Oryzias latipes: one gene and its partners. The protein of the gene in region 6 interacts with the protein of the main gene of each other region in a biochemical or structural test. Links are inferred from orthologs where the notes say so. Each region holds a gene or a part of one and is shown on either strand. Other genes may lie near its edges. The genes, in order: rho guanine nucleotide exchange factor 16, tanc1, arhgef26, tmem178a, kcna4, discs large homolog 1-like protein and adgra2.

Region 1 (3,976 bases), on a different chromosome or scaffold from region 6:
TCAAAAACAAAAACAAACTTGCAGCTTGTTCTGACTCTCACAGCAGCTTCTGATGAGTCCTCTGTTGGAACGTCTCGTTGGAGCAATACGCGATGTAAGGTTCGAAGTGGTGCGCTGCGTGGTTCTGAATGATATCGCTGATGTCGCGGATCACCACGTCCTCCTGGTGACGACGCTCCAGGTCTTCGAAAAACCTGAGCATCCAGAATAATGGAAGCAGTCAGAGACATATAAACAGAGGGGCCTTTTCACCCTTTAACTACCCAACCAAGTCAAAATTGATTTGAAAGTTTCTCTGCTGCTTATTGCCTTGGGCGACTAATACAAATACTCAATATTTTTTACAAAATGTTATCTAAATGTGCTCTAATGTTTAGTTGAGCAGGCAGTTAGTCCCCCATCCATCCATCCATCCATCCATCCATCCATCCATCCAAACTCGCTTTATTCCCAGTGCTGCCAAAACTACATTTACAGAAAGTAAAAATACACTTGTTTCAAGAAAAAAAAGTCATATTTTCTGTATTGCAAGATAAATAATCTTATAAAGTAAGTTTTTCCACAGCAAAATTATCTTAGTTTGAGAAGACATGTCTTGTTGACTAGATTTTTTTTCTTAAAATAAGAGTTCTTGGTAATAACATTTTCTTAGCCTTTTGGAAGACTTTAATAATTTAAAAAAAAAATCTCTGCCAAACCACCTGTGCGAATCAGTGAACGCTGATTGCTGTGGCGGCCCCTGAAGGGATAAACCAAAAGATGAACAATGTGCGAGGGGGGACTTATTCCAAGGGGTCTGTTTGAGCAGAGAGTCTGGGTCACAGGGATGTTGGAGCCTATAACCTACTAAAGTGTCAGCTCACAAGTCATTCCTGTAAAAATTGGCTGAAATAATTTATTGTTCTAAACTACTATTAAAATATTGTCAAAAACACAATTTAACTGGAAACCAAGACAGAGGTGACTTTTCTTCAACTACTTTTACCACAGAAGTTTGTCTCAGTTCATCCAGTTAACTGCACGGCTTGAGACACTGGCAAAGTAGAAGTAATTCAGCTGGAAAGAAGAGAATCTCTGGATACTTCTGCTTGTTCTCTAGTGTTATTGTATCTGGACCACAGTCAAAGTGATTTTTTTTTCCTACATTTTCTCAAGTTAGATGACCTATAAGTCATATTTTTGAATATCAGAAACTAAATAAAAGTTCTCGATGACACATTTTTTCTTTCTCCATTTTATATGTTGAAAACAAAAAACAATTTTAAGATCTTTTCTGCCAAAGTGCTTCTTTTGGATAGCAATACATTCTTTTGCAGTTCTGAACTTTGAACCAAAAGAAGTAAAATGACACCAAAAGCTAAACCACACCCAGAGGCAGCTTTATGACACACATTCACATGCAGATAACGTAAGGCGGTCAGATGTTCCATAGACAAGCTGAACTGTTCGTTGGCTTCACACATCCCATTTCACTGTCTTAAGACTAAACACAGTACTTTTCTTGCTCATAGAACAGAACCAATACTTCATTTATAAATGAAACTAAAAGAAAACAAAACAATTTCACTTCCAAACATTTTCATTTTAGGGCAAAGTACACAACTCGGTGCATTCAGGCAGCAAAACCGGTTTGGCTCACAAGTCCTAACAAGTTAATGGAACATACACAAAACTAAAGGCACACTGAGGGCAAATACTGAAACCGACAGGAAAGGAGCGTTTTCAACCCTTCAGCCAAAGAAAACCGGGTATATTTACACCTTCACGCACCATTAAAACAACTCAAAATCATTTCAGATCTGGCATTGTGAAAATATTACAATTTCATACAAACTTTAAATAGTGGTTGATATACGTTTCCCGTAACCCTTGGGCTATCCTAGGCACTTTAACATTGGGAGTTGGGTCATGTAAACCCCAAAAGACAGTGCGCTGAACCTTTTTTCTTCAGTGATTTTTGATCTTCACTGGTGTCCATGGATTACATGAAATCTTTCCACCTTTATCCACCTTTGTCATGGTAGGGAGAACACATCAATGTAAGGGTGGGGTCGTAGGATAGCACAAGGGTTAAACAAAGCCCATTATAACAAAACATGTTAGATTCTTATCAAAGTGGTAAAGGGTGTTGCTTCAAACCTTTGGCTGACTTTGAGAATTACAGAGATGTTGGAGAAGAGGTGGTGGTGCTCTGTGGGCGCCATCGTTTTACTCAGTGTTTTACTGTTCTTGAAGTGACGCACCAGGATGCCCAGGCTGTGTAGGTATGAGTGCTCTGAGCAGATGATCTCAAAAATAGCCTGCCAAATAATCACAGATAGGAAATGACAGATCACCGCACATTAAACACAAAAAACAGAACATGTATGTGTGTAAGCCTTTCCTTTAAAACTTTATCCTGAACCCACTTTAAAGTTTTTTTCCCCCCTTTTTTCGTGATAACCAGAATACATTGAAACAAGAAATTACTCGTGAATTTTATGTAGACACAAACGTGCAACAGTTATGTGCACATTGGTCCTTGGCTCAGAAAATAAATAAACAAACAGAGATATAATAAACTTCACAACCTTCTTAAATCTAGACAAAGTGGTCCAGAGAGGACAAAAAGAAAACAAAAAGACGTCAAATGAAACATATTCAGTACATAAAAAAGGTTTTGCAAATTCTTCTAGAAGTGGTATGTGTGTGGTGGATTTTAGTCTGTGTTTTTGGTGTCACACAGGAAACTGGCTGAAGGTACAAAAGAGCAGGACAAAGAAGTGATCAGGGGACTCCCACAGAGAGTGGTTACACAGGCAAGGTGTGGCTTTATTCAACAACTCCAGAGCACACACAGGTCCAACTTTTAGTTTCGACTCATTCATATCTAAGGCGGCCACTGAGCAAAAAATTGACATAAATACATAAAGTCATTTGCTATTGGTGTGTGATTTTCATTAGCATTTGAAAAGAGTTTTGGAAGGGAACGTAAAGGTGGCTTTATTGTGACACTAAACCTGCCTGAACCTTCAGTTTGAGATGAGAGAGATTTGTTTTACACACTTCATTATTTTCTGGTATGCATGTAAATTGAAAAAATAAGCTTTTGTTTATAAATTCATAAAAAACAAAAGCAGATCAAGAAATAAATGTCATCAGCGTAGATAAACGGCATTTTTTTTTACTCTATCAAAAAATAAAAATAAACAACAACAAAAAAGTGAACTGCACTCATTATTTGGGGTCTAGCAACTGTTGCAGGGGGGGTAAGTCATGCAGACACAGTGTGACATCCAGAATAAGTGAGAAAGCTACATAACACAAAAAATGTGTTTTATTAATGTATTCTTTCTGATAAAGTAACTGGCTTCCAGGAGTTCTCTATGGTTGAGGAGCTCATCATCAAAAAACCATGAAATAGAAAAACGCTGCCATTACCTCTTGTCTTTTTCTCTCTTGAGGTGTTATCCTTGAAAGAATGTCTGAGTTCTTCACCTTTGCAAGATATCAAAGCAGAAAAATATGTAACTTAAAGAATGAGTTAAAAAAACTTAAATGTTTTGGAATTAAAACCTTTGCAAATGTCACCCCTAAACAAAAACGAGGGGAGACTTTTACTCAGTAGAGTAATCTTTAAAAGTTCTCAAATGAAAAGATTTTCAGATGTACAAAAAAAATATGACAATTTCAACATAGAGCATTGAAACTTATAAGGTGAGAGGGTTAACCTGTGGCAGCTGGCTCCAGGTCAGCTGTGCTGGCTTGTAATTCTTCACCACAATGCCCTGGTCCTCCACTGGAGTCTCCACCACCACAAAGTCGTCCAGCAGCTCGTCCTGGTTGGTGGAGTGCAGGCCGCGCTCACGCATCTCTTGGTAGAGGCACGGTGTGGCTGAGGACCAAGACTACCAAATTACTTAAGCTTTACATCTATACATGCATAAAAGTGTTTAATCTTGGGTTCAACTTACCTATATCATAGAACGACTGGTAT
Region 2 (3,976 bases), on a different chromosome or scaffold from region 6:
CCCTGTCCTGACTGGGGGACCTTTCTGTGTGGAGTTTGCATGTTCTCCCCGTGCATGCGTTGGTTTTGTCTCTAGGTGTGATTGTGGCCCTGCGTCAAACTGACTGGTGTACCCTGCCTTTGCCCACAAGTGGCCAGGCAAGGCTCCTCCTGCGGCCCTGTGACCCCGAAAGGGACAAAAACAGGTTTTCATTTAGCTTCTGCAGTGCACCTCTTACCCGCCATGACACTCTGATGGATTCTTTTCACCTGCTCATATTTGATTTTCAAATCGTTCAATCATTTCTTTGGAGCTTCTTAAGGTTTGTAGCTTCATATTCTAATGCAATTTGCTGTGAACCACTGAGTGGATCTTGGTGTTAAAACCCTGATACACCCTGATACAAACAGAATGCATCAGTTTACTGCACCATACTCAAAATATCTGAAAAAAAACCTTTTTTTGAGTACTTTCTTGGTCATTTATTCTGGTTTGTTTCTGCCTTTCTGTTTTATTTGTAAGTTTTATGACTCCCTTTGGTCAGCTTTGTTGTGCTTGGTAAAAAAAATTTGACCTTGACCTACTGCTCTCCAGTGTGTAGCTGTCAGATGAAATCAAAGAAAAACAAAGAACAAGGGGCTTTGACTCTGGGATGCTCTCTGCTGCACTACACTGGTGCTCTCACACACATGCACACACACAAACACTGCCTTTAGCAAGCTAGAAATGTCAGAGCACACTGGTTTGTTTCTCCTTCATTTATCTTTTCTCAAATATGGCACAACTGCAGTAACATTTTTTAGCAGTGTCTGATTCTGCCCGAGTCATGTTTTTTTTTTTTTTTTTTTTTTTTTTTTTATGAGGGCACACCCCAAAAAATTTAGGACAGTCTGCTTCATTTCCTTCTTTTTCTGTCTACATTTGTGTTTACAGCAACCAGTTCCACAAAGTTAGAAGACTTGGGCTTTCTTGATGAACAGCGCAACACTCCCCTCCGGACGTCCATCCGTCTGCCCTGGCATAACACAGGAGGACGACCCCCCCACGACTCCAAAGGTGACTGTGCTGGAATGCACTGTCAGTTTATTGCTCACTCAAAGATAACTTTGTCATTTTTGGTAGATACAGATAACAAACAAAGTTGGTGATTTCCTATATTGCTTTATTTTGAACATTTTTTGTGTTAATTCGACACTGCAAAATGTGTAACTTCCTCTCCTGATGTTTAATAGTGGATGAAATTGTAGCTAGAAGGTTGTGGATTTTCTAGTTCTAGTTTTTATAAATCCAACACGTTGAATAAACAAGTTAAGAAGAAATGCTAAATATTATTGGGATAAAACTGCTTATTTTTTTAATTGTATTATCTAAGTACTACAAATGATTGGCAATCTGTACTTCAAAGCAGTTATTCTTAATTCAGTTATCTGTGACACAAGTCTTTCACTAATTTGACAGCACTGAGGATAGAAAATGTAAGTCAGCTTTTGCAAAAATAAGATAATATTGTTTTTTTTTCCTTTTCAGCCCGCTTTGCTCCCTACAAACCTGCGGACATCATGCTCAAGCCTTTGCTGTTTGAGGTGCCCAGCATCACCACTGACTCTGTGTTTGTTGGCCGAGATTGGCTCTTTCAGCAGCTGGAAGACATCCTAAAGGCCACTGAATCGAATGGCAACCAAGGCGCTGTCGTTTTGGGCAGTGTGGGTCATGGCAAGACTGCCGTGATTTCCCGGCTCGTTGCACTGAGCTGCCATGGAGGACGCATGCGCCAGATTGCTTCCAATAGTCCAAGCGCTTCACCGAAAGGTAACACCTTAAATGCAATACAAACATTTCAAACTCCAAAAATGGGACAGAACGTTAACTGGCCCGCAATAAGTGTAGTTTATGTAGACACATTAATATTGTTTATATGTATATATGTGTTTCCTATGCATTGCAGCCCAAAGCACAGAACTCCCCCTCAGCCAGCCGGCTCAGGCCACTCCCCCTTCCAGTGCCGCCAACACACTGAGGACCAGCAACTGCCCAGCAACCCCTGAGGTGCAGCGGCGTAGAGAGGAGCCCATGAAACGTCTAGCTTCAAAGGTACACGTCCGGGTGATGGATCCCACACTATGAAGAAAGATAAAGCAGACCGATGAGGAAAACTAAAAGCTTTTTGTGGTAGACGATTAACAAAAATTTTTAACTAAATATGAAAATAAAGCATTACAGTGCAGATTACCACTGAAAATAAAGACATTTTGACAAATCAGTACATTTCAGGTATGCAAATCTATTATCTTGAAGCCATCAAATGTTTTGTACAGCTGAGACACTTTCATGAATCGAATTCTTGTAAAGGATCGACTGATAAAAAGATTTTACAACTGTGGGGTTTTTTAAGCAGGGTTTTGCAAGTCAATGGCTTTCTTGGACCCATAAGAAATCACTTTAAGATTGAATCATTTAATGAAATTAAAATGTTTCCTTCTATTTTTATTTAATAATTCAAATAATCCTTTTTTTTTTACATTCTTAAGATGCAAACTGACAGGGAAAGAATAAACTGCACAGGGATGCAGAATGGGAGCAATACAACAGCATACATTCATATTAATCAAACCACTTGGTTTATATTTGATGGACACTTTTGATCACCTTCATGAAAAATGAACATTTTCAGCTGTAGTTGGGCAGTCAGACCACCTATCAAATAAACCCTTCTTAATTTTTGTATCCGCTAAGTGATAAATTGGCCTAAACCAATTTAGGGGATGGTGTATCTTGCAGTCAGTAGAAAATGTAAAGTATAACATTGATCTTCAAAACTCGTTAGTTTTAAGGTAAAAAAGAGTCAATCTAAGAGACAGTTTAAAATAATAAATAATAAGCTTTACACTGAAAGTCCAGATCAGGATTAAAGAAAACTATTAGATTTAATCAAAACTGAGACCTATTTTCTAGTGAAGGCATCTGTTTACAGCTTTTTAAGCTTTTGTGCCCTGAATTGCTCATCTGTCTTAGCCGCTGTGTCGTCTTGCGATGCCTGTCCGGTGGAGGCAAACTTACCAAAATAAAAGCCTAAATGTTCATATTTTCTGACCACTGAGAGATCATTTTAGGGGGGGGTCATCCTACATATCTGTTAAAGCCTAGCACCACATCTTGTGCCAATTACAACTTAAAGCGTTTCCAACTTAGTCTTTCTCTTGGGCAATGCTGCTGCTTTCGAACGCTGATGCAACACTGAGCAGCTTCTGTCAATTCTCTGTAATCATCGATTCAAACGTGGACTTCAAGGCTTTTACTTTTCCTGCTGTATTTCAAGCCTTGTAGTTTATTCATTTGATAGATGAAACAACATATATTTAAGTGTCTGCCAGTACAAGCACAGCAGGCGGAATGACTGATTGTAATTGCTTATTGATGAAGAATTTCCATACAATACTTAGATTTAGCTGCTGTAATGAAATGGCTTTTTAGCTTCACACAGACACTGTGAGCCGGACATCTTCTGCAGCTTCTTTTGGTTTCACAGCACGTATCTTCTAAGATTGTGCGAGTCGTGAAAATACACAATCTATACTTACACCACCGCTTCTTAGACGTCACCCTTCCTCTCCAACCAATCTAGTCCCAAACCTCCCAAATCATCAAGGGAGAGAAATCTTAAAAATCCTAAAAGAGGTAATCAAGTAGTAAAAATGTGAAAGGACTCTAATCTTAACAATAAAACCACTAGAAAGTAGTAAGTGATCTCTCCAGGCATCAAGTCATTTTTACTTAATGAGAAATCTTATTAAAAGATCTTAAAATATAGAAAAAAAAGTTTCTTACAAGCATTAAGAAAGGAAAGAACAAACTTAAAAATATAATTGTAATAGAATTATTTAAAATTGAATGTTATTCATCCCAATAATATGTATTTTTCTGATAGTTCTAAGCAAACAGTCTGTATTTTGAGTTTTGATGGACCTAATTATAGTTTTTTGGATTATAATGAAACTAG
Region 3 (3,523 bases), on a different chromosome or scaffold from region 6:
AATAACGCTAATTTCTCATCCTTCTGCGCTCCACAGAGTTTAAAGAGAGAACTTGACTCGCTGCTGCAGGAGAAAATCAGCAATCCAGCCCCTGTGGACTGGCAGAACCGTCAGTCCAAAGACTGCGCTGTCATCACCGCCATCATAGACCTCATCACCACCCAGGAGAGGGCCGCGGGCAGCAGTGGGAGGACGTGGGCGTCCGCCCCCAAAGGACAGCACATTTACTTCAATGATGCTGATGACGACGATGATTAAAGGTGGCCTGGAAAAGACTGCCAGCATCCTGAGACTCCAAGTTTGGCTGGGACATTTCGAATAAGCAGCTGGTGTCTTTGATTTAAATTTTAGTTCTAGAGTTCTGCTGAAGGTCAAACAGAGGACTGGAAAAAAATCTACATGTAGTCTGCACTTGAACTAGTTCCATTTGTCCTTCAATTCGCTTGTTTATTATTTTGCACGGACCAATCTGTATTTAGACAAACCTGTGGTCTTTTTTGTTTTGGAAAGTTTTTTTTATGTTGGCTTATTGAATGACTTAAAAATATACTTTCATGTTTTCCTTTTAGTTGTTTTTTTAAATCTTCGTAAAAAACACCTAAAGGCGTATACTTATACAGCACTTTACTGCCCTCTAACTACCCCAAAGCGCTTTACAGTCACAGTCCCATTCACACACTTATGGCTGCTCCACTTGGACCAACCTTTAACCATCAGCAGCAATGTGGGGTAAGTGTCTTGCCCAAGGACACATGGGCATCCATAGCAGGAACCGAACTGGTGAACTTCAAATCCCAGGTCGACCACTATACCTCTGCACCACGGCCGACCCAGAAACACCATTTTCTATGGGTCAAAGTTTACCAGCAAGTGAAATCAAGAATTTTAGAATCTGAGACGGCAGAGGTTTTTAATAACAAACATCAGTTTTTCTATTTACAAGATCTGATATAAATCTGTATTAACAAAAACATGCATGTTTTACATATCTACACGGAAGATTTACAGTTCTTACAAGACGATGTCACGCTTAGATGGGCGGTATCAAACGGTTTTCCCTGAGTGCAAAAATGCGGAGTCCACACACTGGCTCTGGCTGCTTTGCTCACCTCTTCCAATCTTGTGCTCATCATCTGGGTCAGCTCCAGAGAAGTGGGTTTGATAGATGGCATTATCGCCATGCCCTGACAAAGCCATTTATTTCCTTTATATCTGGGAAACGCTTGAAAGATGACTCACTCCGGACAATCACATTAAAAGCGGGCCAGGCGGGGTCGCCCGTCTCCGCGGGTCTCACCATCAGCGCAGGCATTAATTTCTAGAGCATCGCAAATATAAATCCTAAAGAGGCACAGAGCCACCTCTGGTCACTGCCAAGTGTTGTATTTTTTTTTTCTCTCTCCTCGATCCTCCTTACTGAAGTGATGGAGAGAATAATGGCACCCGTGACACAAATGTGGAGTGTGATTCATGATGTGCCATTACAAACAGCGAGGCAGAGGACGGACATTTGGCCCTCTGCTTAACCCGAAGGACGGCGAAAGCCATCGCTCCTCTCAGACGGCTGCAATGCCTCTGATTTCATATGAAGCAGGAAGTCTAACATATTGGTTGGAGTAAAGCTCTTCCTCTCAAACTGAGCCTCATTAGGACATGGCTGATGTTCTTTTCTGCTCTAATTGGCATGGTTTATGTCCTGCAATGGTTCTGGACTAGTTTAAGCGCACATTTGTTTAAAAAAATTGTTACAATTTCACACTGTTTTAATGGCAGGGTGCTGAAAGCAGCAGCTTTGGCTATAAGTGTGAAGTTTCCCGACTGGCTGGCAAATTAATGGACCCGAAAGATCAAACCAGCACAGACTGATGAGTGATTCAGAAAACCTTCTGTCCTCTGAACGGTTGGAAGAACTGGTGTTAAGAGCGCGCTAAGCAGGGTGACGGCTTCCTCTTTGTCATTCTGTTAAATTAGAGTTGTCTCGTAGCTCAGCTTAGCCGCTGAACTGACTTGTCGGAAATCGGCGGTTCAGGATCGGGGTCATGGACGTGTCGGGGCGTCACAGTTACGCAGTTTACGCCGTCCCCTTGTTATCCCATCACACATCCGTTTCCAGCCCCTGCAGGCGATTCATCCGCTGCATGTTGCGTTCGATGGTGACCTGGCACGTGATTTGAACGGCGCACTCTGCCAGAAACCATCCCCGCTCCCCATCACGCAGACGCTCACCTTCATACCAGCCTGAGGAAAGAACAAGAGTTTCATGAAAAAAACAACTCATTTTTCATTCTACAGAGTTTTAGGCTTTTTTTTTTGTTACTGCTCTTTAACATCAAAGCTGGTTGCTATAGCCACCCAAACTGAAATGACCCCTGGCCTTCACACTTTAGAGATGTGAAACTTCAAACGAACGTTTGGCCTATTAAGGGAAAAGAACAGGAGGAGCGGCAAAGTATGTGACCAAAGGTAAGAAGGGTGAGAAGAATAATAAAGATGGAGTTCAGGTGAGGATCTGGGGGAAAATACAAGAATTTTTGAAACCTTTAAACTCTTTGCTCGTTTGTTTTTTGAAACAAAATGAAAAGAAAAATGCATCACACCTGATTAATTCACAAAAGAACACATATGTAAAATAATTATTTAGACGATTTAAAGGCCCACTCTTAAAAAAATAAATTAAACTTAAAATTGCATTTCTAGATTCTAATTCAAATTGTGGTGAATCAGACATAAAAAACTACTATTTGAAAAATACGCTGGACGGGCCACAAGCTCCCTGCTCTGAGCTCTCAGCAATGGGAAGGGGCTGAGGGGTGGGGTTGCTCCTTGCCAACTGTCCCACCCAAAACTCTCCAAGGTGAATTTCTGATGACCTACTGCGGCTCTGCAGAAACTAGGTCCTGAAAAAAAAAAAAAAAGATTTTTTTGATTTTGGCTAAAAACTGCATAATCGTAATTAAAAGACCACTGGAATCACTTAAATAAATCAAAAGATGATTGGAGTGGGCCTTTAGTGTCCAATATAAATTTAAGTTCATTTTAACATCTGTTACATTTGAGATAGGTGTACTTTTACACTGATTCAGCACCAGTTTGAAGATGACTGGCTATGGAGGTTATATGCTATGAAGTTTGGTGTTGAAGTTTAGCCATGTACTAGGAGCAGGAGAGTTTTTGGTGGTTTATGCTGTACTTTTCAGTTTGTTATGCTTCAAATAGGAAAAATCTACAGAAAAAAAAGAAATCTACAACAGTCATATGTCTGTTCCTTACTTGGACTTCTAGAACAAAGCCATGCGGATGCATAAGGATTGTGCCATTAGGCCTTTTCCTAATTAAAAACATTCTCTGGAAAAGAATATGTTGCTCCAAGACCTTTATACACTTGTTTGCCTTCATAGTTCATTTTAAAACACAAAGGCTGCCCAAACACTCATTCAGCCCCTCAACATTAGAGCTGCTGGATGCAGACTGAATGCTAAGAAGGCCTCTTTCTAACTCCAGGCATCATAGTTTCTATAATCAC
Region 4 (4,747 bases), on a different chromosome or scaffold from region 6:
CAGAACGGGTCAAAACAGGGCTAATATGTCAGAACGGGTCAGGACAGGTCTAATATGTCAGAACGGGTCAGAACAGTTCTAATATGTCAGAACGGTTCAGAACAGTTCTAATATGTCAGAACGGGTCAGAACAGGTATAATATGTCAGAACGGGTCAGAACAGGTCTAATATGTCAGAACGGGTCAGAACAGGTCTAATATGTCAGAACGGATCAGAACAGCTCTAATATGTCAGAACAGGGCTAATATGTCAGAAGAGGTCCGAACAGGTCTAAATTGACAGAACGGGTCAGAACAGTTCTAATATGTCAGAACGGGTCAGAACAGGTCTAATATGTCAGAACGGGTCAGAACAGTTCTAATATGTCAGAACGGGTCAGAACAGGTCTAATATGTCAGAACGGGTCAGAACAGGTTTAATATGTCAGAACGGGTCAGAACAGGTCTAATATGTCAGAACGGGTCAGAACAGTTCTAATATGTCAGAACGGGTCAGAACAGGGCTAATATGTCAGAACGGGTCAGAACAGTTCTAATATGTCAGAACGGGTCAAAACAGGTCTAATATGTCAGAACAGGTCTAATATGTCAGAAAGGGTCAGAACAGTTCTAATATGTCAGAACGGGTCAGAACAGCTCTAATATGTCAAAACAGGTCTAATATGTCAGAAAGGGTCAGAACAGCTCTAATATGTCAGAACGGGTCAGAACAGTTCTAATATGTCAGAACGCGTCAGAACAGGTCTAATATGTCAGAACAGGGCTAATATGTCAGAACGGGTCAGAGCAGGGGTAATATTTCAGAACGGGTCAGAACAGGTCTAATATGTCAGAACGGGTCAGAACAGTTCTAATATGTCAGAACGGGTCAGAACAGGTCTAATATGTCAGAACGGTTCAGAACAGTTCTAATATGTCAGAACGGGTCAAAACAGGGCTTATATGTCAGAACGGGTCAAAACAGGGCTAATATGTTAGAACGGGTCAGAACAGTTCTAATATGTCAGAACGGGTCAGAACAGTTCTAATATGTCAGAACGGGTCAAAACAGGTCTAATATGTTAGAACGGGTCAGAACAGTTCTACTATGTCAGAACGGGTCAAAACAGGTTTAATATGTCAGAACGGTTCAGAACAGTTCTAATATGTCAGAACGGGTCAGAACAGGGCTTATATGTCAGAACGGGTCAAAACAGGGCTAATATGTTAGAACGGGTCAGAACAGTTCTAATATGTCAGAACGGGTCAAAACAGGTTTAATATGTCAGAACGGGTCAGAACAGGGGTAATATGTCAGAACGGGTCCGAACAGGTCTAATATGACAGAACGGGTCAGAACAGTTCTAATATGTCAGAACGGGTCAGAACAGTTCTAATATGTCAGAACGGGTCAAAACAGGTCTAATATGTTAGAACGGGTCAGAACAGTTCTACTATGTCAGAACGGGTCAAAACAGGTTTAATATGTCAGAACGGGTCAGAACAGGGGTAATATGTCAGAACGGGTCAGAACAGTTCTAATATGTCAGAACGGGTCAGAACAGGTCTAATATGTCAGAACGGGTCAGAACAGGTCTAATATGTCAGAACAGGTCTAATATGTCAGAACGGATCAGAACAGCTCTAATATGTCAGAACAGGGCTAATATGTCAGAACGGGTCAGAGCAGGGGTAATACGTCAGAACGGGTCAGAACAGTTCTAATATGTCAGAACGGGTCAGAACAGGTCTAATATGTCAGAACGGGTCAGAACAGTTCTAATATGTCAGAACGGGTCAGAACAGCTCTAATATGTCAGAACGGGTCAGAACAGTTCTAATATGTCAGAACGGGTCAGAACAGGGCTAATATGTCAGAACGGGTCAGGACAGGTCTAATATGTCAGAACGGGTCAGAACAGTTCTAATATGTCAGCACGGGTCAGAACAGGTCTAATATGTCAGAACGGGTCAGAACAGGTCTAATATGTCAGAACGGGTCAGAACAGTTCTAATATGTCAGAACGGGTCAAAACAGGTCTAATATGTCAGAACGGGTCAGAACAGTTCTAATATGTCAGAACGGGTCAAAACAGGTCTAATATGTTAGAACGGGTCAGAACAGTTCTAATATGTCAGAACGGGTCAAAACAGGTCTAATATGTCAGAACGGGTCAGAACAGGGGTAATATGTCAGAACGGGTCCGAACAGGTCTAATATGTCAGAACGGGTCAGAACAGGGCTAATATGTCAGAACGGGTCAGAACAGTTCTAATATGTCAGAACAGGTCTAATATGTCAGAACGGGTCAGAACAGTTCTAATATGTCAGAACGGGTCAGAACAGGGCTAATATCTCCAAGCAGTAGCACTCAGTGATTTTATCAGTTTGGGGCTGCTTAATGATTCCAAATCTGCAGTCCGCCGTCTCTGGTTCAGACCCATAAGGATCCTGGACCCCATTACCCACAATTCTCAGTGCTCCAGGTTCAGGTGTCTTGCATCTATGACGTCAGACATTCACTCACTGTGCCATTAGAGCGCGCTCTCCTCTGTGAACAGCAGACGTTTCTGGTGATACTGAACGCGCGTGCGTGCAGGAGTGTTTGCTTGTATGTAAAGTATCACATGCACGCGCTGACCCCGTGCGATGAGCTTGTCGATGTCCTGATCCTCAAAGTAGCACTTCTGCCACAGCCCCGCGTGCGTGGAGAACAGCGGCCTCCCGCACTCAGTCTCGAGGATGCCCATCCCGAGGATCGCGCGCCAGTTCTCCAGCAGCTCCTCCTCGCGGCTACCCACGTGCACGGGCTTCATGAGCGCCACGTCTCGGTGGCGCGCGCCTCCGTCCAGCAGCGGGAGATGGTAGATCGGCATGTCCCGGTTCTTCTGGTCCGTGGAGTCCGCCCCGTGCCGGTCGCAGTTCTCCTTGTGCGCGCGTGTGTCGGTGTGGTACCAGTGGTCCGTGCAGATGGCGGTAACCAGCAGCAAGAGCGCGAGCGCGCTGAGCGTGAGGCTGGCCGCGGAAACTTTCACGGTGACCGGTCGCGCGCTCTGCATGACTGCGAGGACCGAACCGGTTCCGGTACACGGAGGTTCTGCTGCCATCCTCCGGCGCGTGAGCTGCGGCGCCTTTGTCAGTGAGAGCGCGTTGTCATGCCGACTGACTGTGCTGCGTCAACGTGCACGCGGGTGGCACCGGAGGCGTGGGGTCTAGCCTTCAAAATAAAAGCCCAGTCACAGATGACAGTTATTTTGCTGCAGTGACGTCACGGCGGAGGATGACGGCAGTGTTTCTGGTTTTCCAGACACATGAAGTCGGTCCGTTTAAATCGGATCAGGTCAAAGGCCTGAACACTAATCCTGGATTGGGTCTGGAGAGCGGTACCAGAACCCCAGCCTCTTCCTGATGCTGCAGGTTGTTGGAGAAGATTCACGCGGTTCCCATTGGCCCAGTAGACGGGTTCTCCAGAAAGAGCGGCTGGACCACAGTCTCATGTCATTCTAGCAAACACCATCATGTGTTGACCTGCAGTCACCACCTTCCAGGGGAGGAGGGAAGAACAAAGAATTTAAAGCTGAACTTCAGAACCAAAACCAGTTAACTTCCATGGGAGTGAAAGCTTTGATAAGAGTTTGTTATGATCTGTGGTGCAAACAAAAAAATCCCTCGTTTAAAAGCAATGAAATGAAAAAAACTGGGATGACTGTGCAGACGAGCAAAGAATTATTATAAGATTTGTCAGCAGCCAGTGGTGTTGGACCCAAGAACCAGGAGATCCGGTATGTGGCAGAAACTTAGAAATGACATAATAAACTCACAAACTACAGGAGCAACAGAAGGACGACGAAGCAGATGAAGAACTGAAAAGCAGATGCTCAAATACACCGACACATCACTTCATGAAGTAAGCGGCTGACGGGACGTCAGGGTTAGCAGAAGAAGGTTATTTACGGGAGGAAATGCTTCCTCTTCCCATTGTTTGGTGAAGAAGCAGATCTTCACAGCTTGGATCAGTTTGGACAAGCTGGTCCTGTGTCATACTTCTTGGAGATACTTGTTGACAGTGTCTGGTTACCATGGAAACGGCAGAACTGCCCCAGACGGACATGTGCTTTGAGATGGTTGGAAATCTTTAGGTCAGTAAGGCAGTAGAAGCTATCACTCTTATTTTGAAATGCCAAAGGAAGTCCTGTCACACATCATAACAGGTGACTCTGGGCTTGGGGGTGTGGCCTCTGAGCTGCTGCTGATGATGTCAGGTGAGCAGAAGTGCTGACTGCAGTTGAAAGTGGAAAGCAGAGATGTTCTGCTGGTTCTTGGCTCCCAGGGACTTTAAACTAGAACATCAGACGTTCTTCGTTTCCACATTTGCACAGACAAAACAACATGAACAAGTTCTGAATTCAGAGGCAGAACTTCTGGTGAAGAGGTCCAGCAACAGGAAGCAGATCTAGCTGGATCTCCTTCATAAAGGTTCTTGTCTACTCTCAGCTGCAGATCAAAGAAATGTTCAAAAATGGGATTCTTCCAGGATCTCCATGACGATAGGAAGGAAAACCCTAACACAACATTGTGTTGTTTGAGTAACCTTCACACACTTCCAAAAATCAGGTCTTTGAATTGAAAAGTTTCTGCTTGAACGTCTGCTGTTCTTCAGCTCTAAACCTCACGCAGACGTTCAGCCGCTGGACCTTCAGGTGACGTTGATGCGAGACGGTTCCAAAACAGAACTGAGAAGAACCCTGCTGTTCCCCAGAGCTATTT
Region 5 (4,080 bases), on a different chromosome or scaffold from region 6:
CTTACACAAACAAAATACACAAACACTCATCGCTATAAATGAGTACATGCTGATGCTTTGACTGACGCAGTGATGGATGCACAGAACCATTTTACTGGAAGGAACGTTCTGGCTGCTGACATTACAGAGCCTTTTGGCATCAAAGAACAGCAAAGTTCTACAGGACCTTTGCTTACCTTTTTCAACTTTTTGACAGTAACAAATGCTTCTCCACTTTTTTGCAACTTGCAGTATAAATCATTGCTGCACTTTTCCAAAATGAGCATCTTGCCTACTTGCATATTTGAAACCAGGTGGTAAATTTCTATTTATTCTTTTGTTTTTGTTGAACTTTTGAGGTAAAGCTCAACACGTCTGGTATTATTTTTGCAGTAGCTTCCCAAAACTAACCTTCCTTCATTTCTTTGAGAGATGCAGTAAAGTTTTAGAGTACGATCGCATGAAATAACCCTCCTTTATCTCATTCAGAATCCATTATGTTGTAAATTTTTCCTTGTTTAAAGCTTCTCTTATTTTACTGTTCAAGGATGAAGAGCGCTAAGAGTTTTGACGTTTTAACTGAGTACAGGATATATATTTGACCACAAAGCCACAAACTTGTCATGCAGCCTTTGCTCATGTGAACTCTTCTTTGGCTGAAGCTCAAAGAGAAACGTTCCTGCTTCAGCAGATGGTTGTAAAAACATCCTACTTGTGCCAAATTCTGCAAACACACACACACATAGTCTCTCCCCTCTTTTCTCACACACAAAGTAAGTTATCTAGTAAAGTTAATAAGAAGCTAAAGCAAGAATTCTGTTGGAAGACAACCCTGATATGATTCTTTTTCCTCTTTTCTCTTTCCTTTTATTTTGGAGGTTTAAAATACTTTCATCAAGCAAAAACAAAATCTCATTAAATTACAGTGTTTGTGTTACTTTAGACAGAAATGCAGCTGGGATTCTGCAAAACCTCTTATCAACAGCCAAGAGTATAAAAACGGTGTCAGTGATTACTCTGAGTGATGTTTTTTTTTTTTTTTTTTTTTTTAAATGAAGATAAAAAATGGGGTTCAGATTGTGTATTAATGAGCTTCAGAATTATGAGGTGTTGCTTTTTTTTTTTACAAAAGTTTAAGTACAATTCCCCTGAAGTTGACCTGATGTCATCATGGATGAAATAATTGCCCCCGTTATTAATGAAAAACGCTGTGATATTGTTGCAAATGAGGTCTGAGGGTAGCTGTAAAGTTGCACAGGAGAAACATTAACTGATGTTGGCAGGAATGTGCGTCATAGTCGTCCAGCGTTCATATCGTGTTTTACACACGGTTACGCACGCGCATCCATGCATCTTTTTCTTCTTTTTCTTTTTTTTTTGGGGGGGGGGGGGGGGTCTAAGAGATTACCAAGGTAGTGGAGATACATCCAAGGGCGAGAAAATAACAAATGCATTGCATGGATTTTCTTCAAGTGGTTCCTGTTTTTAGAGGCTTTGTTTGTGTGTTTTGTGTCAATTAAAAAGGAGTAAAAGTCACATACCTTGGAAGACATCCTTATTCCGCTGGTTTTCTGAGCCATGTACGCTTGTGCATTGACTTGAGAAAAAAAATTGCGCGTAAACTCTCCTTGAAGAATTTTCCACAACAGTCGTTTTTGCTATAATCTTCCATCTTGTAAAGGGATACTGTCACTTTGAGGTGGTTTGAATGAAAGTGGAGGAAAATGTAAAAAAAAAAAAGGTGGGGAGGGGTTTGTCTCAAGGCTCCAAAAATGTCCAGATGACCTGCAACGAGTCATTTCTCCAGCCATAAATGATGATGAATGTGCTTAACTCTTGTCATGGTGATGATTTACTTTAGTTTAGGATAGGAAGGGGATTTTTTTTTTAAACTACGTATCTCAATGTAGCCCTGACTCATTTAAAATAAAGCCTCTTTAGAAAGATATATAACAATTATGGATATATATTCATATTTTAAGTGTTGGAACAGAGATAAAGGTAGTTCTTCTGTCTTATTTTCTTCTTCAATGGAGTACAGTTTGGTAGGGTTTAAACGCTGTTGTTTTCTATGTTACTTTGCTTTTTTAGAAGTTTCTCTAACATTTTTCCGTAAAGTTATTCCTAAAATGTTGCCAGCATGGCCTACAGTTTTCTGTCTCTACAGGAACTTGCCCCAAACCCAGCGCAGATACTAATTTAGTGCAAACAAATGATAACTTTATTGCATAACAGCAAAATGATCGTCCCTACCCCTCGGATGTGACAAAAAAACTCATAAAGTGCGAATGCATAGCCTGTCTCTTCTGTGGAACTGGACTTAGATGTTAGAGTTGGAAGCCCGCAGCTCAGATGATACAATATGGTTCTGAAGTTGGTGTTGAGGAAAAAAGAAAAAGAATGGAGCATTTTCCTGCCACTGTGAAAGGGGTGGATGAGTGCGTAAGAGGGGTTGAATGGAGCGTAAAAGTTGAGGGGTAGTCACCTGATGCTGGGCAAAAAATGTCTTTTCAGAAAAAATCACACGTCTGTCTGAATAGATTTAGAGTTAGTGCTGTTTTTTCTGCTTATGTCTGTGCCGTTTCCTTTACTGGGGCTCTTGTCCAACCCGCATAGCGATTCCGTCAGCCCTTCCTCCATCTCCATGTACTCCGCTTTATCCCCCAGCGAGGAGCCCGAGGGCGAGCCTTTGAATTTCCTTAGAAAGTCGGGGAAATACGGACATCCTGGAGGCATGCTCTCCACCACAGGTGTCTGGTCCTCGTTGTTGTCGGTCTCCCTGTGGTAGAAGTAATTGAAGTTGGACACTATGACAGGCACCGGGAGCGCGATGGTTAACACACCCGCAATCGCGCAGAGGGAGCCCACTATCTTCCCACCTACGGTGATGGGCTTCATGTCTCCGTAGCCCACCGTCGTCATGGTGACCACGGCCCACCAGAACGCGTCGGGGATGCTCGTGAACTGAGAGGTGGGCTCGTCCGCCTCGGCGAAGTACACCGCGCTGGAGAAAAGAATGACACCTATAACTAGGAAGAAGATGAGAAGGGCCAGCTCCCTCATACTGGCGCGCAGGGTGTGACCCAGGATCTGCAGCCCCTTGGAGTGCCTGGACAGTTTGAAGATGCGAAACACCCGGACGAGGCGAATTATTCTCAGAATAGCGAAACTCATCGCCTGCTGGCCGTTGCCCTGGTGCTGCGCCAGATCCGTGCCTAGGGTGATGAAGTAAGGCAAAATGGAGACAATATCTATGGAGTTCATGATGTTTTTAAAGAAAGCGGTCTTGCTGGGACTCGCAAAGAAGCGAACTATAAACTCAAAGGAGAACCAGATGATGCAAACGGTTTCCACGATGAAAAAGGGGTCGTTGAAGGGCGTAAATCCGTGGTCGGGCTCAGAGGAGTTGTCCCGCGGCTGCAGATACTCCTTCTCATCCCTGAACTCTGGCAGCGTCTCCAGGCAGAAAATGACTATGGAGATGACGATGACCAGCACGGACACCACGGCGATCCCCCGGGCAGGGCTGGAGCTCTCCGGGTACTCGAACAGCAGCCAGATCTGACGCTTGAACTCGTCCTCCGGCAGAGGCTTCTCCTCCTCCTTCACGAAGCCCTCATCCTCCCGAAACTTCAGGATCGCCTCCTCTCCGAGTTCGTAGAACTTCACCTCCTCGGAGAAGATGTCAAACGGGACGTTGGCGGGTCTTTTTAGTCTCCCCCCTGACTGGTAATAGTAAAGAATGGCGTCAAAACTCGGCCGGTTCCGGTCGAAGAAGTACTCGTTCCTGAGCGGGTCGAAGTATCGGATGCGCTTGTCGGGATCTCCCAACAGCGTGTCCGGGAACTGAGAGAGAGTCTTAAGCTGAGTTTCAAACTTCAGACCCGACACGTTGATGACGACCCTCTCGCAGCAGCCGCACTCACTGTAGGCGTTCTCGTACCCGGACTGGGGCCGCCTGTCCGTGATCGACACGGTCTCCTCATCCTCGTCCATGTTGCACAGAAAGCTGGACCTCTTGTCTCCCCGGCCCCCCTGCTGCTCCTTTTCCTCCTCCTCTGCTCCCTCAGCCTCCTCCTCCTCCTCCTCCTCCTCCTCTAT
Region 6 (4,265 bases):
TTTATTTGAGATAAGGTGTATGTTTGTTTTAAATACATTTTTCCAGTTTAATCCTGTTTTATGTGGTCGTGACCTTCATTGCTAAGCACTTTAGCTGCATTTCCATTTTATGGGCATGCATTACACTCCGTGACACGCCTTGGTTTCAGTCAAATTTCGATTTCCGTGGAATCCAGCCTCTAAGTGGGCGGAGTTGTTGCATTTAAGCTGTTTTTAAAATGGCATAAATCATTTTTGCTTTACTACAGCAAGTTGATCAACTCCTGAGTTTGACCATTTCAAATGTTATCAACTTCAAAGGTTAGTCAAACCAAACCAAAGTTTAAGCACATCAATTATTATAACAAATGTTTCCGGAGTATTTAGTGATACGTGGACCATTGCCCTGTAGTTTGGTCTCGCGTCGCCCAAAGACCTTAAACTTCAGACAAAGCAGAGTAACGCTGGAAAACTGGCTCTAGGATGCCCTTTTAAAACTAATATGAACTGGATGCATCAAAGTCTGACATGGATAAAAATCAATGATAAACTTGCTTGTAGTCTGGGTCTGTCTGTACATAAAATGCGGACATTAAAGCTTAATCTCACAATTACTGCACACTCCTAGACCTGATTTTAACACACAAAGGGCCTCAGCTACTTTTCTATTACCATGATCTAATGCACTCAAAAAACAGCTATTTATAGAGCAATTGCTTAGAGGAATAGGCTGCCTTTAGACATAATGGTTATAGGTAGTGATAGTAGTTTTAAAGTAGCCAATAATCCAAAATATTCAAATATACATGAAACGAATCTACATTGCGCTGTTTTGCCTCGTGTGCTGCTTGACAGCTCGGTTGGCTGTGTGTAGGATTGGTACGTGGGTAACCAGGGTTCATTTCCCAGGGGGCGCAATGAGCGTCATCCAGTGTGGGTCTTCGGGCAAAACCCTTCTGCCTTACTACGGAGCCACAAGGGGCCACGACTGAGACTCCCTGTGCCAGTCCCCAGCCCGGAAAAATTACAGGGTTGTGTCAGAAAGGCCATTTGGTGTAAAAATCTCTGCCAAAAAAACATGGGTGAATCAGTGGAAGCTCTGAAAAGACCTACCATGAGGTGAACAAAAACAAGTACCGTACTGTTTTGACTCGTCTGTTTGATTGTTTTTAATCTTTGGGATTTTGAATGACTATAAAGACTATAAATAGGCTATGTAATACTGTCATCTTTATTCAAAACTTTTGTAATTTATGTATTTTTAGAAGTGGGCCCCAGTAAGATTAGTCTTTACATTGGGATACACTAATGGAAAGTTTAGTAATCCAGATTTGTAAGGGAAACTTCATACATAATACTTGATCAACTTTCAGGTTTGTTTACATCCGAGTTTGTCCATTTCAAATGTTACCAACTTCAAAGTTTAGTTGAGCCAAAGCTTTAAAAATGTCAAACTTTATCTGAAACAGTTTCAAAATACAGTTTTCAGGGTCATGTGGTAACTTTTAATAAACACAAGCATTCTAAAAAGGGGACTTCTTAGTGACGGCTTCTGAGCAGATTTTTGAGGAGCTTTCCAGGCTTCCGTAGCTGCAATGGACTGCAGGTAAACCAAACCTGGCATCTGTATTTACACAGCAAACTTTCAACAAACTAAACCACATCTGGAATCAAACCTGCTGTGGACAATTTAACTATTATAATTTATATCTAAAATATATATTTTTAAAAACACACACTTTCGTTTTAGTTCCATTTTGACTGGATTGTTATCCACATTTCTGGCTTATTATTATGATTTTTGTTGGCGCTACATTAAACCGGTTCCGCTTCGTTTATGACCCATTATGATGATCATAGGTCTTTAGAACACTTTTTTTATCCTGCTTAGGGAACAAAACCTCACGAATGTTTTACTCGAATTAAGTTTATTTTTAATCGCTCTCCAAACAAGGTGCCAATTTTATAACTTGGTTAGCAACATAAGCTAACAAGCTAGCTTTATTTTGACTTACTTCACCTGGCCGGCATGGCTCGGCTCTGCTTAAGGAGGCCAAACTGGGCCGCGTATTTGTGAGTCCGTGGTTGTGCGTCTGTCTCTTATGAGTCTCGTGTTTCTCCGCACGAGCCAGCACTTAAGACTTTCAGCCGTTAGCAGAGCTAGCTCGCCTACTTGGTGCATAACTAAAGTGAACGCTTACCTTTCTTTCTCACAGGCATGGCTCGGTTCGGCACTGTGTTCGCCGCATACAGTCCTCACACTGGGCAGGTTCGGCTCGATTAGTCCCACATTCAGCCCGCTGTTGGCGCTCCAGAAAAACCCTTCCCAATCAGTCAGCACCGACCAAGTTCCCGTCCGAACCTGCAAAACTCTGAGGCAGGTGAGGCTGAGCCGAACCGGACTGCAGCTTTTGCTCCCACGGGCTCCAACACAGACGTCCCAGACAAGAACTGAAGAATTTAGGGACGAACAGAGCGGCAGTCCTGGCTCTGAACTTCCCGTGAGGGAGGCTCCTGAGCCGGCGAGCCCCGCGCAGGCTCACCGCGGCTGCGGGGAAGTGACGGTCCGGCTTCCCGCTGCGGGACCTCACCCTACGGCGCCGTCCCGGGGCCGCGCTGGAGGGGCGTGCTGGAGCCGGAGGTCCGGAGACGAGCTGCCGCTCCAAATAAAATCAAGAAAACTTCAGAGTCCAGCCCGCTGCCCCCTCCCTGCCTGCTGCTTTCGTGTCAAACTTGTCCGACAGGAGATCCCTCCCCCTCCTCCTCCTCCCAGGTCCACAAATCCCAAACTTTCCTCCAAAATGGCGGAGCTGGGAACGTGAACCATGTGACTCACCCCCCCCCCCCCCCCCCAACACCCACACCACCACCACCACACCTACACACACATACACGTTTACACAAAAACACACTTACAAAACTGGAGGGGGGACTTAAGGATAACAAGGAACAGAGGAAAGTGTCAGGAAGTAGAGAGAACGGGAGGGGCGGGGCGGGGTGGATAGAGGAAGGAAGCTCCAAAGGGAGCGGAGGGGGTGGGGGTGGGGGGATTAAAGGTTACAAATGTGACGATTAAGGGAAATAATGAAGGAAAAACGGAAAAAAGTGGGGAGAAGTGCCCCACCAGGAAACAGTAGCTGCGTGGAACTGTTCCTTTCATTCAGAGGGGTGACGACCCAATTCTTGTTGGGGGGTTTATTGTTTGTTTTATTTAGACTTAGAATTAAGGGTGTAAACAATTAATCTACGAATCGACTAATATTCCTCCGATCTCTCTGAGGCACGTTCTTAGTGGAATCGATCCATATCATTTGAAAAAAAATCTTTTCAAAATTAAATGAATCGATTATATTGATATTGGGGGGAAAAACTCATTTGAATTGAGGCATGGAATTTTTATGTTACTATAACCTAAAAACGACCAAGTGCATCACAGCAGACAACAGACATGTGACGGCGGAAAAACAGTCCAATATGTGAAAACACTTTGAAGACGTGACCAAACATTGTGGTAGAATGCTCTAATAATGTCTTCTTGTATTATTTTGAAATCAAAGAAACTGAAATGTGAATATATTTACCACTAATTCTTGGTAACTTGTTTGTTTGTTCACATATTTAATTTAACTTTGACAATCTTGCAAGAAATACAAGGAATCTGGAAAACCTCACCTGCAATGTTCAGTACCAGGTATCTGAGTCACACTGGTTGAAGCTTTTGGCTGAAGATGTCCTGGATCGATTTTATGTCCATGATTCGGATCGTTCAAAATGAACTACAATATCGACTATGAATCGTATCATCAACCACAACTTACATGAATCGATTCGTTGTTAAACTGAATTGTTACACTCCTACTCTACTCAGAATCCCATTAGCACTTAAATCGATGCATGTTTTGATAATTGCCATCTGGGTGATCATGTTTTACCCACTGAAAGGCTTACCCATGAAATTGAAAAGGTTAGGATTCAATGATGTCAGATTCTGCTTTGATAGCTACTTCAGAGTGAAGCAGAATGCTTTGTCAGTCCCACTGATCTAAACATTGGATTATCACTAGGATCAGGGTGGGCCATGTATCGGTCATATGGACCTGATTATACCCCACCCACCTTGACTGACAAAGTTCCTAAAAACTGAGTTTGAGCAGGACAAAGTAAAGGGAGGATTAAGTGGAGTCCATCCACCTGCCAGTCATCAAAACAGCCAATAAATACATAAATTTGAGCTGATTTCAAATCAAAACTAGACTTTTTAGTCTACTGAAACCTGCTTCCGCTGG
Region 7 (3,976 bases), on a different chromosome or scaffold from region 6:
CCAGATAAGTTCCTAACAGAATGCATACGTGAGTCATGAACAAGGTTCTCTTCATGTCTTCACCACAAATCAAAGAACACAACAGTTTCACGGACACTAATCAATCTGTCTCTTACAGTTTAGCCAAATTTGTCAGCCCCTGGAACATGTTTCCTGTCAGGCAGCCAATGCGGTTGTTGGAGAGGTCGCTAGAAGTGTGAAAAAACAAATTATTCACAGTTACTTCTTTTCAAATCAAAACTTGTTTTAACTTTTTGCAAATAGAGAGATCATTTTTATTTATCACTTCCTCTGTTTTAGTGATGCCAGGACACATACTTTATGAATCTTACATAATATTCTTAAAAGCTTTATTGTCCACAGCCCTGTCACAATACAGTTGATTTTCTATGCCCACTGTGTCCTGAAAAGCCACTTTGGGCTGTATGATATATTCTCTTGAGACAGTATATTGCATGCCAGGTAAAATTCATCTTACCAAATGTGAGAAACTTCTGATGTGGTAAAATATTAATGTTATCGGATTTTTGATTTATTGCATGAAATCTGCCATTTGTCTATTTTATACACTTGTTTAATTCTGATCAGGGTTACAGGGTTGCTGAAGCCTAACCCAGCTACTGTCGGGATGGGGTGGGCTACACACTGGACAATTTGCCAGTCCATTGCAGGGTCACACAGAGATAAGCAACCACTAACTCACTCAGGGACAATTTAGAGTCACCAATAAACTTATCAAGCATGCCTTTGGTTTTGAAGAAGCCAAAGAAAACCAATGCATGCATGGCCAGGACATGCAGAATCCACTGGGTAGTGGCATTGCTAACCACTACACCACTTCCCCTTAACGCACAACATATAAATCTGAATATATCAATTTTCCTTTCACTTCCTGAATGTACATAGTGCAAATATGTGAAAACCAAGTCCTATAACTTGATTTTCAATCGAGAGTACCAAATGTAACAGTTCCTTAAATGCCCACTGGGGGGCTGGTTTCAGAAGGGAGCTATCAACCAATTTTCTATTAATTCCAATTTTTAAAGGTCTAACTTTTTATCAAAAATAGATTTGTGTCAAAAAACTTTTGATGTTTTTAACTTAATTTTCTATTCATAACAACAACAGCTTTCAAATAAAGCTGAAATGTTTTGAAATTATCTGTAGTTTTCAATCCAGTTCATTTCAGAATGTCAACTGTTGCCAATTTGAAAGTATCTCAGAGCACAAGGGCCTTTGTTTATATATTGAAAATCTATGAGCTCCAGTGTCTGACACTGGGGACCTGAAGTATGTCGAGCACTGCTCTAAAATCCAGAAATCTTCTTCTAAGCTTACCTTATAAGAAAGTGTAAGACCTTCTTTTAACGCAGTCCAACTTCTCCTGATTTAAAGTTTCAAACCAGCCAACAAAAAGCCTCAGACACTTTCCCTTTTCAGGATCCCAGAGGATCCAAGTAAAGGTTTATCATCAGCGGGATAAAAGCAGGGCCCCTGTTCACCACTGAGCATGATGTATGGCTGTAGCCAGAAAGGATCTGCTCTGTTGCACCTCTGACACCACCCAGCAGAAAGCTGTCCAGAGCATGTGTTTATCTCTCCCTGTTTGTTTTGAGAAGCCCCAGACTTCGCAGGGAAAATACAAGTACAAGGAGGAGGGATGGGGAGTCATGTGGTGTGGCGCAGACAAACACTTTCGTCTCACTCTGCAACAAAGCCTTAAACTCCAAAAGCACCAGGAGAAAGCAGCTAGTGGCTGCAAACGTTAGTAATGGGTAGCCCCTAAGTTACAGTAGTAGTCGACAGGCCTGACACCCAGGAGCTTCCACAAATGTCGGCAGAAACATTTATCTGAGGAGGCGTCTATGTCATACTGTCACCAGGAGCTCAATATGATCTACTGTGAGCCAACAAAACACTGTTACCGTGACTCATTTACTGTCCATCTAGTGAGATCACACAAATAAACTGGAATCTGTCATCACATACCAATCATTTCAAGTCCACTAAGTTTGTGTTTGTACTTTTTACACTCAGCAGAGCTGCGATCATATCACGATCTACTTACAGTCTCCGAAGCTCAGACAGGCCTTGGAAGGCTCCTGGCATGATGGTGCTGATTAAGTTGTGCTTGAGGTCTCTGGAAATAGAGAGAGAAAACTTTGAAAATGTATGCAGGAGTGTTTATGCTGGCAGAAATACAGCTGTTTTGTAACTAAAGTTCATCTGGATTCCCTACCCCATAGCTTCAAGATAACTGAAGCCAGCAGCCAATTCATTTACTAGTTGTTCAAGAAAAAAACTGTTTGTCAAGGTCTGCACAAAGCAAAGACAATCTTGAAAAAAAATCACAGAGAAGCTACATCTTGTTCGCATGGAGGCTAGAACCAGTTAAAAAATGACATCAAATTGACAAAGTTTTAAACAAAACAGCTTCCTCAGATTTTTATGAAAGGGTATGTTGACACATTTTTCAAAAGCTGATTCCTGTTGTGGGACAATGCACAATAATTCTTCACAATCATAGGAAATCTCATTCTCCCAGCGCCCTGGATCTAGGTGTAGAAAAAATGAATTTCTTAACCAAATTTCAAAAAATACTTGGGCACAAAGAAAACATAGAGGCTGTGATCTTTAAATGTTTTTGAAGATCTAATTTCATAGTCTATAGAGCTAATATCCTTTTTTTTTAAAGACGTTCTGCAACCACTAACACATGTTAAACAACTTAAGCAGATGCCTACATGGATCCCATATTTTCTCTTTTATTTGTCAGGTGGGAATAGTAATACAGGTCAAAAGATGGAAGGCTATTAACAGGACATGTGATTACATTCCTAAAGCACAAAAAAATGTGTTCCTGTTGGAACTGTCACAGAAGACGTTTTCCTAGAGGGATTGGTAACATGAATGCAATGATCCTTTTTTAAAATCTCCTTTTATTTGCTGTGCTTTTGTAAAATGGACACCCTTAGGCAACTTTATGCTCCTTTTTCCTTTAAAAGACAGTCTCTCATTGCTTTTCTAGATGGTGCTCCGTTATGCACTGTATAACCTCAGGCGTTTCTTCACCATTGTGATGTTTAATCTGCAAAAGCCAAGCTTTTTTTTTTCTATTCTGGTCAACATTGGACAGAGGCATTGTTTTATAAAATAACCCGAAAAGTATGGAATGGCTGTGATAAAAGCAAAAGAGGGTTCATGTCGATGCAACATACCTCCAGGACACTCCTCATATTTGGATTGCTGACAGATATTAGGATGGAGCAGCAGTTTTCTAGCTTTAAATCAGTCATTCTGAAGTGTGTTATGCTTTTGTTAATGCATTTTTGGATAGCTCTAGCTATTTGACAGAAAGCTTTAGACAAAGTCTTTTTCAACCATTTCAATTTGATTAAAATAAAGGTACAATTGAAACTTCTCATACCCACAAGTAAGAAAGCAAAATAAAATAAGCTATGTTGGACAGAAAAATGCTCCTGGGTGTTTATGTCTGGAGTTTCTTTCTGTCTGTCTTGATGCATGTGGTAATTGCTGTGTCCTGAGAATGCATTTGTGTCTGTGTGTCAGTAGTGGTGTAGGAGCTGTTGACCAGTGCAAAAAGGAAAAAAAAACTGTTCTTTTGCTCTCAGTCTGTGTGCCACAAAGCTCATTAGTGTGGTGCTGAAAGACAAGGCGCTACCCACCATTTCCTCTCTCTAAGGTCTGTCTCTCCCACCCTGTCTGTCCCTTTCAAAGACATAACCAAGATCTGATGTGCAGCACTGACCTAAATGTGTATTTACACTCAAACATAACATTTTAGAGGCTTTTTACATTATATTTAGAAGAGTAAATATCCTTAATAAAGCTCTGCAGAAATTCCTTGTGCAAACTTTTTTATTTTTTTATTACAGACTGCTTAATTTACATTTTTTTTAATTTATAAATGTTTTCTTGAACAATACATCTGCACATGTATCTTGCTCGTAATATT

Evidence for each region.
Region 1: the proteins of discs large homolog 1-like protein (region 6) and rho guanine nucleotide exchange factor 16 interact in a test that uses a peptide from one of them, tested with the Homo sapiens proteins (2 studies listed by IntAct, with this or other methods). The link is inferred for Oryzias latipes from reciprocal best matches to the Homo sapiens genes DLG1 and ARHGEF16.
Region 2: the proteins of discs large homolog 1-like protein (region 6) and tanc1 interact in a test that uses a peptide from one of them, tested with the Homo sapiens proteins (2 studies listed by IntAct, with this or other methods). The link is inferred for Oryzias latipes from reciprocal best matches to the Homo sapiens genes DLG1 and TANC1.
Region 3: the proteins of discs large homolog 1-like protein (region 6) and arhgef26 interact in a test that uses a peptide from one of them, tested with the Homo sapiens proteins (2 studies listed by BioGRID and IntAct, with this or other methods). The link is inferred for Oryzias latipes from reciprocal best matches to the Homo sapiens genes DLG1 and ARHGEF26.
Region 4: the proteins of discs large homolog 1-like protein (region 6) and tmem178a interact in a test that uses a peptide from one of them, tested with the Homo sapiens proteins (2 studies listed by IntAct, with this or other methods). The link is inferred for Oryzias latipes from reciprocal best matches to the Homo sapiens genes DLG1 and TMEM178A.
Region 5: the proteins of discs large homolog 1-like protein (region 6) and kcna4 interact in a biophysical measurement, tested with the Homo sapiens proteins (2 studies listed by IntAct, with this or other methods). The link is inferred for Oryzias latipes from reciprocal best matches to the Homo sapiens genes DLG1 and KCNA4.
Region 7: the proteins of discs large homolog 1-like protein (region 6) and adgra2 form a complex in vitro, tested with the Homo sapiens proteins (2 studies listed by BioGRID and IntAct, with this or other methods). The link is inferred for Oryzias latipes from reciprocal best matches to the Homo sapiens genes DLG1 and ADGRA2.

Annotation. Positions count from the first base shown.
Region 1 is NC_019865.2:7,808,201-7,812,176, forward strand, and holds part of rho guanine nucleotide exchange factor 16, read right to left. Parts: intron 3,875-3,976; coding exon 3,711-3,874; intron 3,478-3,710; coding exon 3,421-3,477; intron 2,301-3,420; coding exon 2,140-2,300; intron 195-2,139; coding exon 42-194; intron 1-41. UniProt on the Homo sapiens protein: Guanyl-nucleotide exchange factor of the RHOG GTPase stimulating the exchange of RHOG-associated GDP for GTP. May play a role in chemotactic cell migration by mediating the activation of RAC1 by EPHA2.
Region 2 is NC_019879.2:20,885,633-20,889,608, forward strand, and holds part of tanc1 (protein TANC1), read left to right. Parts: intron 1-912; coding exon 913-1,035; intron 1,036-1,506; coding exon 1,507-1,788; intron 1,789-1,924; coding exon 1,925-2,070; intron 2,071-3,976. UniProt on the Homo sapiens protein: May be a scaffold component in the postsynaptic density.
Region 3 is NC_019871.2:12,831,964-12,835,486, forward strand, and holds the end of arhgef26 (rho guanine nucleotide exchange factor 26), read right to left. Parts: intron 2,239-3,523; coding exon 2,096-2,238; 3' UTR 890-2,095; downstream 1-889. Other genes in the region: ATP-dependent RNA helicase DHX36, read left to right, coding at 37-258. UniProt on the Homo sapiens protein: Activates RhoG GTPase by promoting the exchange of GDP by GTP. Required for the formation of membrane ruffles during macropinocytosis. Required for the formation of cup-like structures during trans-endothelial migration of leukocytes.
Region 4 is NC_019859.2:131,217-135,963, forward strand, and holds the start of tmem178a (transmembrane protein 178A), read right to left. Parts: upstream 3,187-4,747; 5' UTR 3,088-3,186; coding exon 2,622-3,087; intron 1-2,621. UniProt on the Homo sapiens protein: Acts as a negative regulator of osteoclast differentiation in basal and inflammatory conditions by regulating TNFSF11-induced Ca (2+) fluxes, thereby controlling the induction of NFATC1.
Region 5 is NC_019861.2:9,905,506-9,909,585, reverse strand, and holds the end of kcna4 (potassium voltage-gated channel subfamily A member 4), read right to left. Parts: coding exon 2,500-4,080; 3' UTR 850-2,499; downstream 1-849. UniProt on the Homo sapiens protein: Voltage-gated potassium channel that mediates transmembrane potassium transport in excitable membranes. Forms tetrameric potassium-selective channels through which potassium ions pass in accordance with their electrochemical gradient.
Region 6 is NC_019875.2:12,784,518-12,788,782, reverse strand, and holds the start of discs large homolog 1-like protein, read right to left. Parts: upstream 2,801-4,265; 5' UTR 2,200-2,800; coding exon 2,181-2,199; intron 1-2,180. UniProt on the Homo sapiens protein: Essential multidomain scaffolding protein required for normal development. Recruits channels, receptors and signaling molecules to discrete plasma membrane domains in polarized cells.
Region 7 is NC_019867.2:17,251,033-17,255,008, forward strand, and holds part of adgra2 (adhesion G protein-coupled receptor A2), read right to left. Parts: intron 2,141-3,976; coding exon 2,069-2,140; intron 189-2,068; coding exon 117-188; intron 13-116; coding exon 1-12.